Linked DNA regions of Mus musculus: region 2 is reported to be linked to region 1. The links are microRNA targets in miRTarBase. Many come from high-throughput screens and were not tested one by one. Region 1 holds a microRNA gene; the other region holds the end of a gene's coding sequence.

The links. Region 1 holds the annotated microRNA mmu-miR-3099-3p (UAGGCUAGAGAGAGGUUGGGGA, at 3,221-3,242, opposite strand). A microRNA usually pairs through its seed, bases 2 to 8, with sites in the 3' UTR of a target mRNA and lowers its output. Matches are read on the target gene's strand: a 7mer-m8 pairs with bases 2 to 8, a 7mer-A1 pairs with bases 2 to 7 and ends in A, and an 8mer does both.
Region 2: the mRNA of Hccs is a reported target of mmu-miR-3099-3p. Seed matches in the 3' UTR shown: 7mer-m8 at 1,805-1,811.

What each region holds. Positions count from the first base shown.
Region 1 is chr7:6,802,481-6,806,879 of GRCm38, reverse strand. It overlaps Mir3099 (microRNA 3099), which reads right to left and starts at 3,293; the gene lies at 3,210-3,293. All of the region lies in intron 2 of Usp29 (ubiquitin specific peptidase 29), which reads right to left.
Region 2 is chrX:169,309,244-169,313,642 of GRCm38, reverse strand. Hccs (holocytochrome c synthetase) reads left to right here. Exons shown (of 7, transcript NM_001331049.1): 6 at 1-55; 7 at 621-2,113. The coding sequence ends at 819. Among named protein-coding and RNA genes, the nearest start is that of Hccs, 8.9 kb to the left of the region's middle.

The DNA.
Region 1 (4,399 bases):
TGATAGGGACTGTGAGCTCTGGTTGGGACCTGCTGAGATTAGCAGTAGTACATTTGGAACTCTGGACAAAGACTAGCTCTTCTCTAGGTTTGTTTTTTTCCACAAGTGTGACTTTTAATAATATTTACAAAAAACACAATACCAGGGTGATGAGCGATGATAAGGAATAGGCTTCTCTGAGAGCCACACTAATCTTTATTACATTCTATTTATTTACTTTTGTGCATACCTCTCTTTGGGTGCCTTGCCACCTCGTGCAAGTCAAAATCTGAAGACAACTTGTGGGAGCCAGTTCTCTTCTTAAACCATGTGGGTCCTAGGGACCCAACTTCAGTATTGTCAGCATTTTTAACTGCTGAGTTACTCAATGTCCCCAGCCTAATTTTTCCAAACACCAAAGTTTGCATATCACTGGGTATTTTGTTTTGTTTTGTTTTTTCGGCAAATAGTTCTCAACCCCACCAGTTCTAAAATTGGGTAAATATCTTGAGAGCCCTCCAACAACAGAAAGACCTGTAGAACATGGACATCTGCATATACCCAGAGGATGCATTATTTAAATAAAAGTTTACTGGGCCAGACAAAAGAGATTATTTATTCTTGAAACACACACACACACACACACACACACACAAAACACACACACACTGAGAGAGAGAGAGAGAGAGAGAGAGAGAGAAAGAGAGAGAGAGAGAGAGAGAGAATAGTTTCATAGAGACATTATACTTACCGAATTAGAATGTCCTGTGAGTATGTTTGACTCAAATGAGTATTTGTAAATAATTCTTTAAGATACTTGGGGAAATATTTACAAAAACAAAGTGACGAATCCAATGATCCAAGCCTAGGCCTAAAGACTGCTTATGTTTTTCTCATCAACACAGAATTTCACAGATTGGGGACTGGAGAGATGTATTAGCAGTTCAGGGCACTGTCTACTGTCTGATCTTTCCAAGTACCCAGGTTCAGTTCTCAAAACCCATTTGGTGGCAAAGAACTATCTATAACTCCTGGCCTCCAAAGCCATTAGGGATCTGTGTAGTATGCATACATACAAGCAGGTGAAGCACTCATACCCATAAAATAAAACAAATCAATCATTTAACAATTAAAAAATTATTAGGTGCTTGTCAGGCTTATTTTTTTCATAACCAGATAACTTAAGGACCTTTTTATAAAAGCTCGTGTTGCTAGCCTGGCTCAGTGGATTTAGGGGGCTTGCCTTCAAGACTGACAGTCTGAGTTTGATCCCTAGGGCCCAGATTTCATAAGAAATAAAAAAGGTTGCTATGTGTTGTCCTCTGTATACCACATGTATGCCATAACACACATTAATGTATTAATACAATAAAAATTTTTTAATTATCAAAAAGCAAAATCATTTATTTGCGACATCATTCAAAAACTAAGGTAAATCTGGGGTGACTGTATCCCACAAAATCATCGTCAGGCAACGTGTGTCCCACAGATCATCCATTTGAGGGTGAAAAGTCTCAACGGCCCCTGAGCACATTGACAGATGTTCAGACCGTCCCAGTTGGCATTCTCATTCCTTCCCTGGGGCACAGCAAAAGCTGCTTCCACCCATCTGAGGGGGCTGACAAACTCTCCATATTGAAACACTTTCATAGGTGGAGTATTTCAGTTTTTAAAAGTTGTGGTAAGATACTCGAAACCTAAAACTTAGCATCTTGAAGTCCCACTCCTAACTGAGGAGCTATTGGCAATGACAGTTGCTGAGGGTAGGAAATTCAGTTTTCTTCAGGGGTACAGGACATGAAAACCAGCTTGCCCCGAGGCTCTCCTGTCTGGAATTACAGGTAGGCCACCATGTCCATCCAGTTTTCATGTGGGGTTTGGGGATCCTTACCCTGGTCCTCACACTTGCATATCCAGCTCTTTACCCATGGAGTCATCTCTCCAGCCTTTATAGTTGTAGCCCAAGCTGGCCTCAAACTCACATACCTCCTGCTTCTACCTCTGCAGTATGTCCTACCTGTATACACCCACACAAGCAGCTGGACCTCTTAGTGATTGTTTTGAAAGTTCATAAGGCTCAGTTTGCTGGATGAGGGCAGCTTGTGGCATGGCAATCTGCAGGAATCTAGTGTCTACTCTTTGGATTTCTGCTAGTTGCTGAAGAATGAGCTCCTCTGTCACTCAGCTGAGTTCTACCCTCTTGCCATAGCCAGGTAGATGTGACAGTTACTTGGTAGTTTCCTTCTTTCTTTCTTCCTTTCTTCCTTTCTTGCTTGCTTCCTTCCTTCCTTCATTTCTTTTCTTTTCTTTTTCTTTTTTTCTTTTTTTTGGTTGTTGTTTTGGTTGGGATTTTTGTATCTTTTTTCTCCTCCTCTCCTCCTCCTCTTCTTCCTCCTCCTCTTCCTCCTCCTCCTCCTCCTCCTCTTCCTCTTTGTCTTCCTCTTCCTCCTCTTTCTCCTCTTCCTCATCTTCCTTCTCCTCTTCCTCTCTTTTTTGCCTACACATTTTTACCTATACAATCTGGAATATCCCAATCTTAGATGCTTTCTGCCACTGCTTCCTCCTGTGCCCATGCCAGTGTCAGGTCTCATGAAGATGGATAAGGTGCCCCTGTGCAGCAAGTGTCTGTTCCTGACAAAAGCAGAGGCCAAGTGAGGGATCAAGAGACAACGGGTTAGGGGGTGTCATTACACCCTCCCCATATTTTCCTGACTCCCTTTTGATGTCATATTAAAAACTTCAAGTCCTCCAACAACAACTCACTGATTGGAAAAAAAAAATCTCTCTCTAAAAAGAAAAAAAAGAAAAAAGAAGAAAAGAAAAATCTCTTTACCCCCATGAGGAAAGTGTCATTTAGACAAGTTCATTCTCCTGCAGGCAGAGGTAGAAATTGAGTGAGAAGAATGAATGACTGAAGGTGGGGGCTTTGGTGAACAACTAGGATAAGAGATATTCGCTGTCAGCCAGACGATGGTTTAGCAACATGTGGTGCTTCATTTGAATCAGGAACCAGTTTTGGAGTCCTCATCCATCCCCTAACTTTAGTGAGCTTTCCAGGAGTGCTCTACTAGGCTCCACTTAGATGTATGGGCTCATGCTCTCTGAGTTATCAGTGTTTTCCTGCTAATTCTCATCAGATGAGAAAGGACTAAGTGTGAAGTTCTCGGGTCTCTATTGTCATTGGGTAGTCTCCCTCCACGTGGTCACTCAATCCTGCATTCGATGCTCTCATCTTTCCCCATCCCCAACCTCTCTCTAGCCTATGTGCGTACTAAAACATCAAGGGCTGGAAGGAAGCTGGGATGGGGATCGATCGTTCAGCAGGCTTGAGGTTTCCCTTGGAAGGAGGAAGAGTTCTGTGGAGATTGCCACTGAATCGAAACATTTTAAGACTGAGGGAGATAAGGAAACTTCCAAGGCTCAGGAGTCTTATATAACTTACAAGACTCAGAAAGCACAGGAAGTTAGAAGCACCACAAGGCCCTGTCCTATGTTTATGTAAGGCAGGAAATGATTGCTGTGAGAGAGGAGACTCTTTAGTGGCACTGCCTGCAAATCATGCAGGGAGCTCCCAGGATACAGGTTTCATGGGTAATAGCCTGTGTTGTGTGGCCTTTTCAGGGATGCAGCTGCCTAGGTCATCCTTGCTCCTATAAGTTATACCCCAAATTCACTGCTTTACCAACATAGACTGGTGAAATATTTTTTTTTAATCTTTAATGCCCTTTAAGGCGTGAATAGATGTTCATATGTGTTTCTTTGATGGGAAAAATCATACAGCCAAGGTAATGAACTTAATTGAGACAAATGTGATGTTGTACAACACATTTATTTGTTGTTTTGTTTTGTTTTGTTTTGACTGACAGGCATGGAGTCTTCATTCTGTAGGAAAAGTAAGTTCTAAGGTGCTACTGTACACCATGGTGGTGATAATCAGTAATGAGTTATGTTTATACTTGAAAATTGGTGAACACCTTTAATCCCAACACTCAGAGACAGAGGCTGGCAGCTCTCTGAGATCAAAGCCAGTCTGGTAGTCTACAAAGCGAGTTCCAGGACAGCCAGAGCTACACAGAGAACAAAATAACCCTATCGCAAAAAAAAAAAAAAAAAAAAAGACAGCAACAACAGAAAATTGCTGAAAGTTCTTAAAAAAAAAATGATGGATGCATAATGGATAGGTAAGCCAATCTGACTGAGAAGATACTCACACAAAGAATATATGTAATTTGAACATCATGTTGCGCACTGTAATTGTATATAGTTTTCTGGTTATGATAAATTAAAAATAGTCAAAGTTTAGGCTATGTGAGTTTCAAAAATGGGTGTTCCTATGTTTTCTCTTTAGAGGAATTTGGGGTAGCAGCTATATTGGACTCTGTGGCATTTCCCTGGAAGCTAGATCTGTGCAGGTTTATAA
Region 2 (4,399 bases), not on the chromosome of region 1:
TTGGAGGTAAAGCAAGAGAGTATTCACCAAGAGCAAGAATTCGTTCCTGGATGGGGTAAGTGTCAGTGTAGAACTGCTGTTGATATTCCTTAAGCCATGGTTAGCATTCCTATCACCTAAAACAGTGTAGGAAAAGCAATTCCATCTTCCACATCTCCAGTATCCAGCCTATGTTTCTTTCATATCCTTGAGTTTACTCATAGATGGGCAGAATTATAAAGGTTGGGTTGCTGGTTTCATGCTTCACTCTGGAAGGATTGAATTGTTCTTTTTTTTTGGTGTCTTCAGAACTGTCTTTTTACTCCTCTTGTGCTCTTTGTCTTGCCTTACTCCTCCCTTGTCTTATAGTGTAATAGGACTATTAAGTACATTTGATTTCTCCAGCTTTCTACCTAGCCTGGCCTGGCCCTCTTTACCATGAACCTATTCCTTTATAGACATGGATTCATCATAGTTCTTAATCACCATATTCTCTAAACACCATGGACTGATTGACTAAGGCTCATCTCCTCTGCTAGATATTTGCAAATGAGTATGTGCTGTTTTTCACTCTGTCTTTCTGCTACCACCAAGACAGACAGAATACAGACCTGCATTTTAGCAAACTGTTTTCATTACAGGTATGAATTGCCTTTTGACCGCCATGACTGGATCATCAATCGTTGTGGCACAGAAGTTAGATATGTGATTGATTACTATGATGGTGGTGAGGTGAACAAGGAGTACCAGTTCACTATCCTGGATGTGCGTCCTGCCTTTGATTCATTCTCTGCAGTATGGGACAGAATGAAGGTTGCTTGGTGGCGCTGGACTTCGTAACTGTTATTTTGTTTGTTATGAAAAAAGTGAAACTTTTTTCCTGAGAAAGCTGTTAAAACTATTTTCCCCAAACTAAATGCACTCATAATGTCATTGAGGGTACTTTTCGAGTGAGTGATCATATTTGATCTTGTATTTAACAAAGATGCCATGCTCCTTTAAATTTTGAATCACATTTTCCATTGCAGATGATAGGTCAGTTTAATTTTTTTCCCTATTTGGTATAAGTTCCTTAGTTTTCCCACTAAGTCCAGTATTTCATGTTATTTTCTTTAGACATCTTAACAATCTCTGAAAAAGAGGTTTTAAAAGCATAAAAAGTTGTTTTTATTCTTACTGTTTCCTCAGGAGTATTTGAGATATAAAACCTGAAAGTGTGTGATGCTTTTACCTGCCAAATAATTTAACTATATTCATTATAAATAAGAAGCACTTGTTCTTGTTTTAAAAGTAACTAATATTTCTAAAATCCCTTTGGTCTGAACAAAATATACAAGTATATACCGAATGAAGTCTGCAAGACTGATATGTCTATGTTTAAATGTGATTTCAGATTTGACCCTGATAGAAATTTCAACTTGATACATAAAAATTTCAAAATACTTGTTTTTTCAATTCTGTCCCAATATGTAACTATCAATGAAAAGCTGATCACACCATCCCTAGAAGATGACAAATTATCTTATCTCATCCCATTCCCTCTTCCTACTTGGAGCTTGCCACCAGTCGTGTAATGTAAACCTTGAGAGCCGGGCTCCAATCACAGTGCCAGAAGTGTTTCTTTGACGAATAAGATTATATTTGGCTAAGTGTTAGAATTCACAAGAAGTGCATTTTTTTTCAGATATGAAATGTTTGCACCAATTCACCATCATTTTGATGTTTTAAGCATGTGCTGAGTTTGCTGTTGAAAACTGGTTGTTTTGCTGGGCAGTAGTAGCACAAGCCTTTAACCCCAGCATTCCATAGATCTCTGAGTTTGAGACTAGCCTGGTCTACAGAGTGAGTTCCATGACAGCCAGAAAAATCCTCTCTCTAAAAAAACAAAAGAAAAAGAAAAGAAAACTGGTTGTTTTTATTTTAATTATAGCAACACCTTAGAAATAGCTTTTTCTTAAATGTTGATAATATGAAAAATATTTAATTTATCTTAAATACTGTAACATTTAGTGGACAGAATTTGTGTTTTTGAGTTATTTGACGTAGATTTCTTTGTTGTATGATGCTTTAAAAATCTAACATGTGAAAATATTTGTATTTTTTAAATAAAGCTGACAGTTAAAAGGTTCTGAAACTTCTTAGAGTGATTTTTGTAGTTACTTAATTTTTGAGATAAAAATTTATCTTTACTAAATGCAGCAGTGGTCTCATCTGTTAATCACATAATTTTAAACTGCATAAGAATGTAATCTCTTTTGGCCCTTCTCAGGTCACAACTGGATTAGGACTGGAAAGTAAATTAAAGTGTATAGTGACAGGGTATTGTGAAAGTCAACTGTCGTATAAACTCAATTATTAAGATCAACAATTTTTCCTATGCCCTTTCACCACTTCTAGAAAAGATACCTGCTGAGTACTGAGTTGCTTTGTGGCTAGGTTACTGAGTACTCAGGATTGCTTCGTGGCTCGATTCTACTTCAGTCTGCCTAGGGAGTAAAACTTCACTGCTCTGATGGCTTTTATATAAGTTGAAATGCATTCTGGATCACCTCCCACATTTTAAACTTAAGTTTTATCTGTGGAGATGACGTCATTCAGAATCAGTTTTGGCAGTAAAGGTATGTGCAAACTGAGTTACATGTTAGCTCTTAGTATTTCTCTGAACTCATTAGCTGTCATTTGTGAGATGCTGATGTTCACTTTGCATCATACTCAGGACAGAAGATGGCCAACGATCATCCCCTGCCTACAGAAACACAACCTTTCAGAGCTCAGTCCGTAAACAAAATTACAGTACTGTAGAATTCATATTTTAAAAACTCTAAGGTAATGATGGGGGGTAGGGATACATATAAGTACATTTCAATATAACTACTGTGATTAGTCAGGTTGACAGGATTCAAATGACATGGGAAGTGGAACTTGGTGTGCCTGTGGGGGACGATCTTGATTACTTTTAACTGAGGTGGGACTATTCAGCCACCTTGGGCTGCACCATTCATATCCTGTACTACATAATTGAAGAAAGTGAGCTGAACACTGGAAACCAAGTATGCACCTCTCTGTTTCTGGACTGTGGGCATAAGGTAACTGGCTGCTTCAGGCTCTTACTGCTTTGACTTCCCCACCAGGATGAATGGCCTTGAACTGTGAGCCAAAACCCTTTCTCAAGTTGCTTTATCAGGCTATTTTATCACAACAGGAAAGGAAACCGACATTTGCCAATATTTTTGGTCCCTGATATGTTCACCCTCTAGTGGAGTTATTGCTCCCCATTGAAAGTGAAGTGCTCTGTATTTATTTCCTTTCTTGTCCTTGTCATGACTGTCAAGCCATGTTCAATCATTGCTATTGCTAAAGGTTTGAGGCGCTTTGTGATTAAGAGGGCATACCCTGAAGACTGGTGGTTTGTTCCAGTTTTTGCTTTACTTGCTCAGTGACATTTTTCTTCTGGGCCTCTGATTTCATGGTTGTAAAATGAGAAAATGAGCAGACAGTTGGTTTACAAGTTCTGTGAAGTGATCTGTGTGCTTTTGGGGCAGACTCCTGGGTAGAAAAAGCTTAACAGCCATCCACACGGTTGACAGTGGCCGTCACAGAGAGATTGTGAAGCAAGGCTAGAAGTCAGAAGTGCTGAGACATTCCACAGGACGAGTCTGGAAAGATCAGGAGGTTCTTCTGATTTGTGTCAATTTTAAGTATTACTGGGTACTCAAAGTATTACAATAGATGCTAAGCAACCTCATGTTATCTTTAAAAAGGCTAAGGGGAATAAAGGATGCGTAGACATAAATTGATAGTTAATATGCAAGTCCTACCTGACAAAGGTAATTAAGTGCCTGGATTTCCTAATCTAAAACATTAAGCAGTGCACGACACAGAAACCAGCTTCATAAATAGAATTTAGGTAAAGCCCATTAGCCATCAAGAATGTTGTCATGAAGCTGGCAACAACTGGAGAGGGGATCAGAAATTCAAGTTCTTTCACCGCTCTCCAGGGTTTTCTTAAACATTCTTGCTATAAAAATGGACTGAAATTAAAGATGGTATATCCTGTGTGTGGGTGACATAAGGAATAAACGATTGCTGGCACACATCACCTGGGAAAGCCAGTGGCCTTTGCTCCTTGTCCAACTAGTGACCGATGAGCTTTATGGCCTGTCAGTTAAAATCTAACATGGAATCCCTTTACAATTTCATTTTAGCTGCGTTTTTAAAGCAGGGTATGGAATTGTGTAAGGAGATTAGTGTATGAGGGCATTCTTGGAGATTTTGCTGCCTCTCTCACCTCGTCTGTGTTTGCTTTACCAAAGGCACTTCTTAAATGTTTTACAGATCAGACTTCTCTGGAAGTCTTGGTAAAATGCAGATGACTGACTTCCCATGGAGGGCCCGTCATCTTGTAGGCCTAGAACAGCTG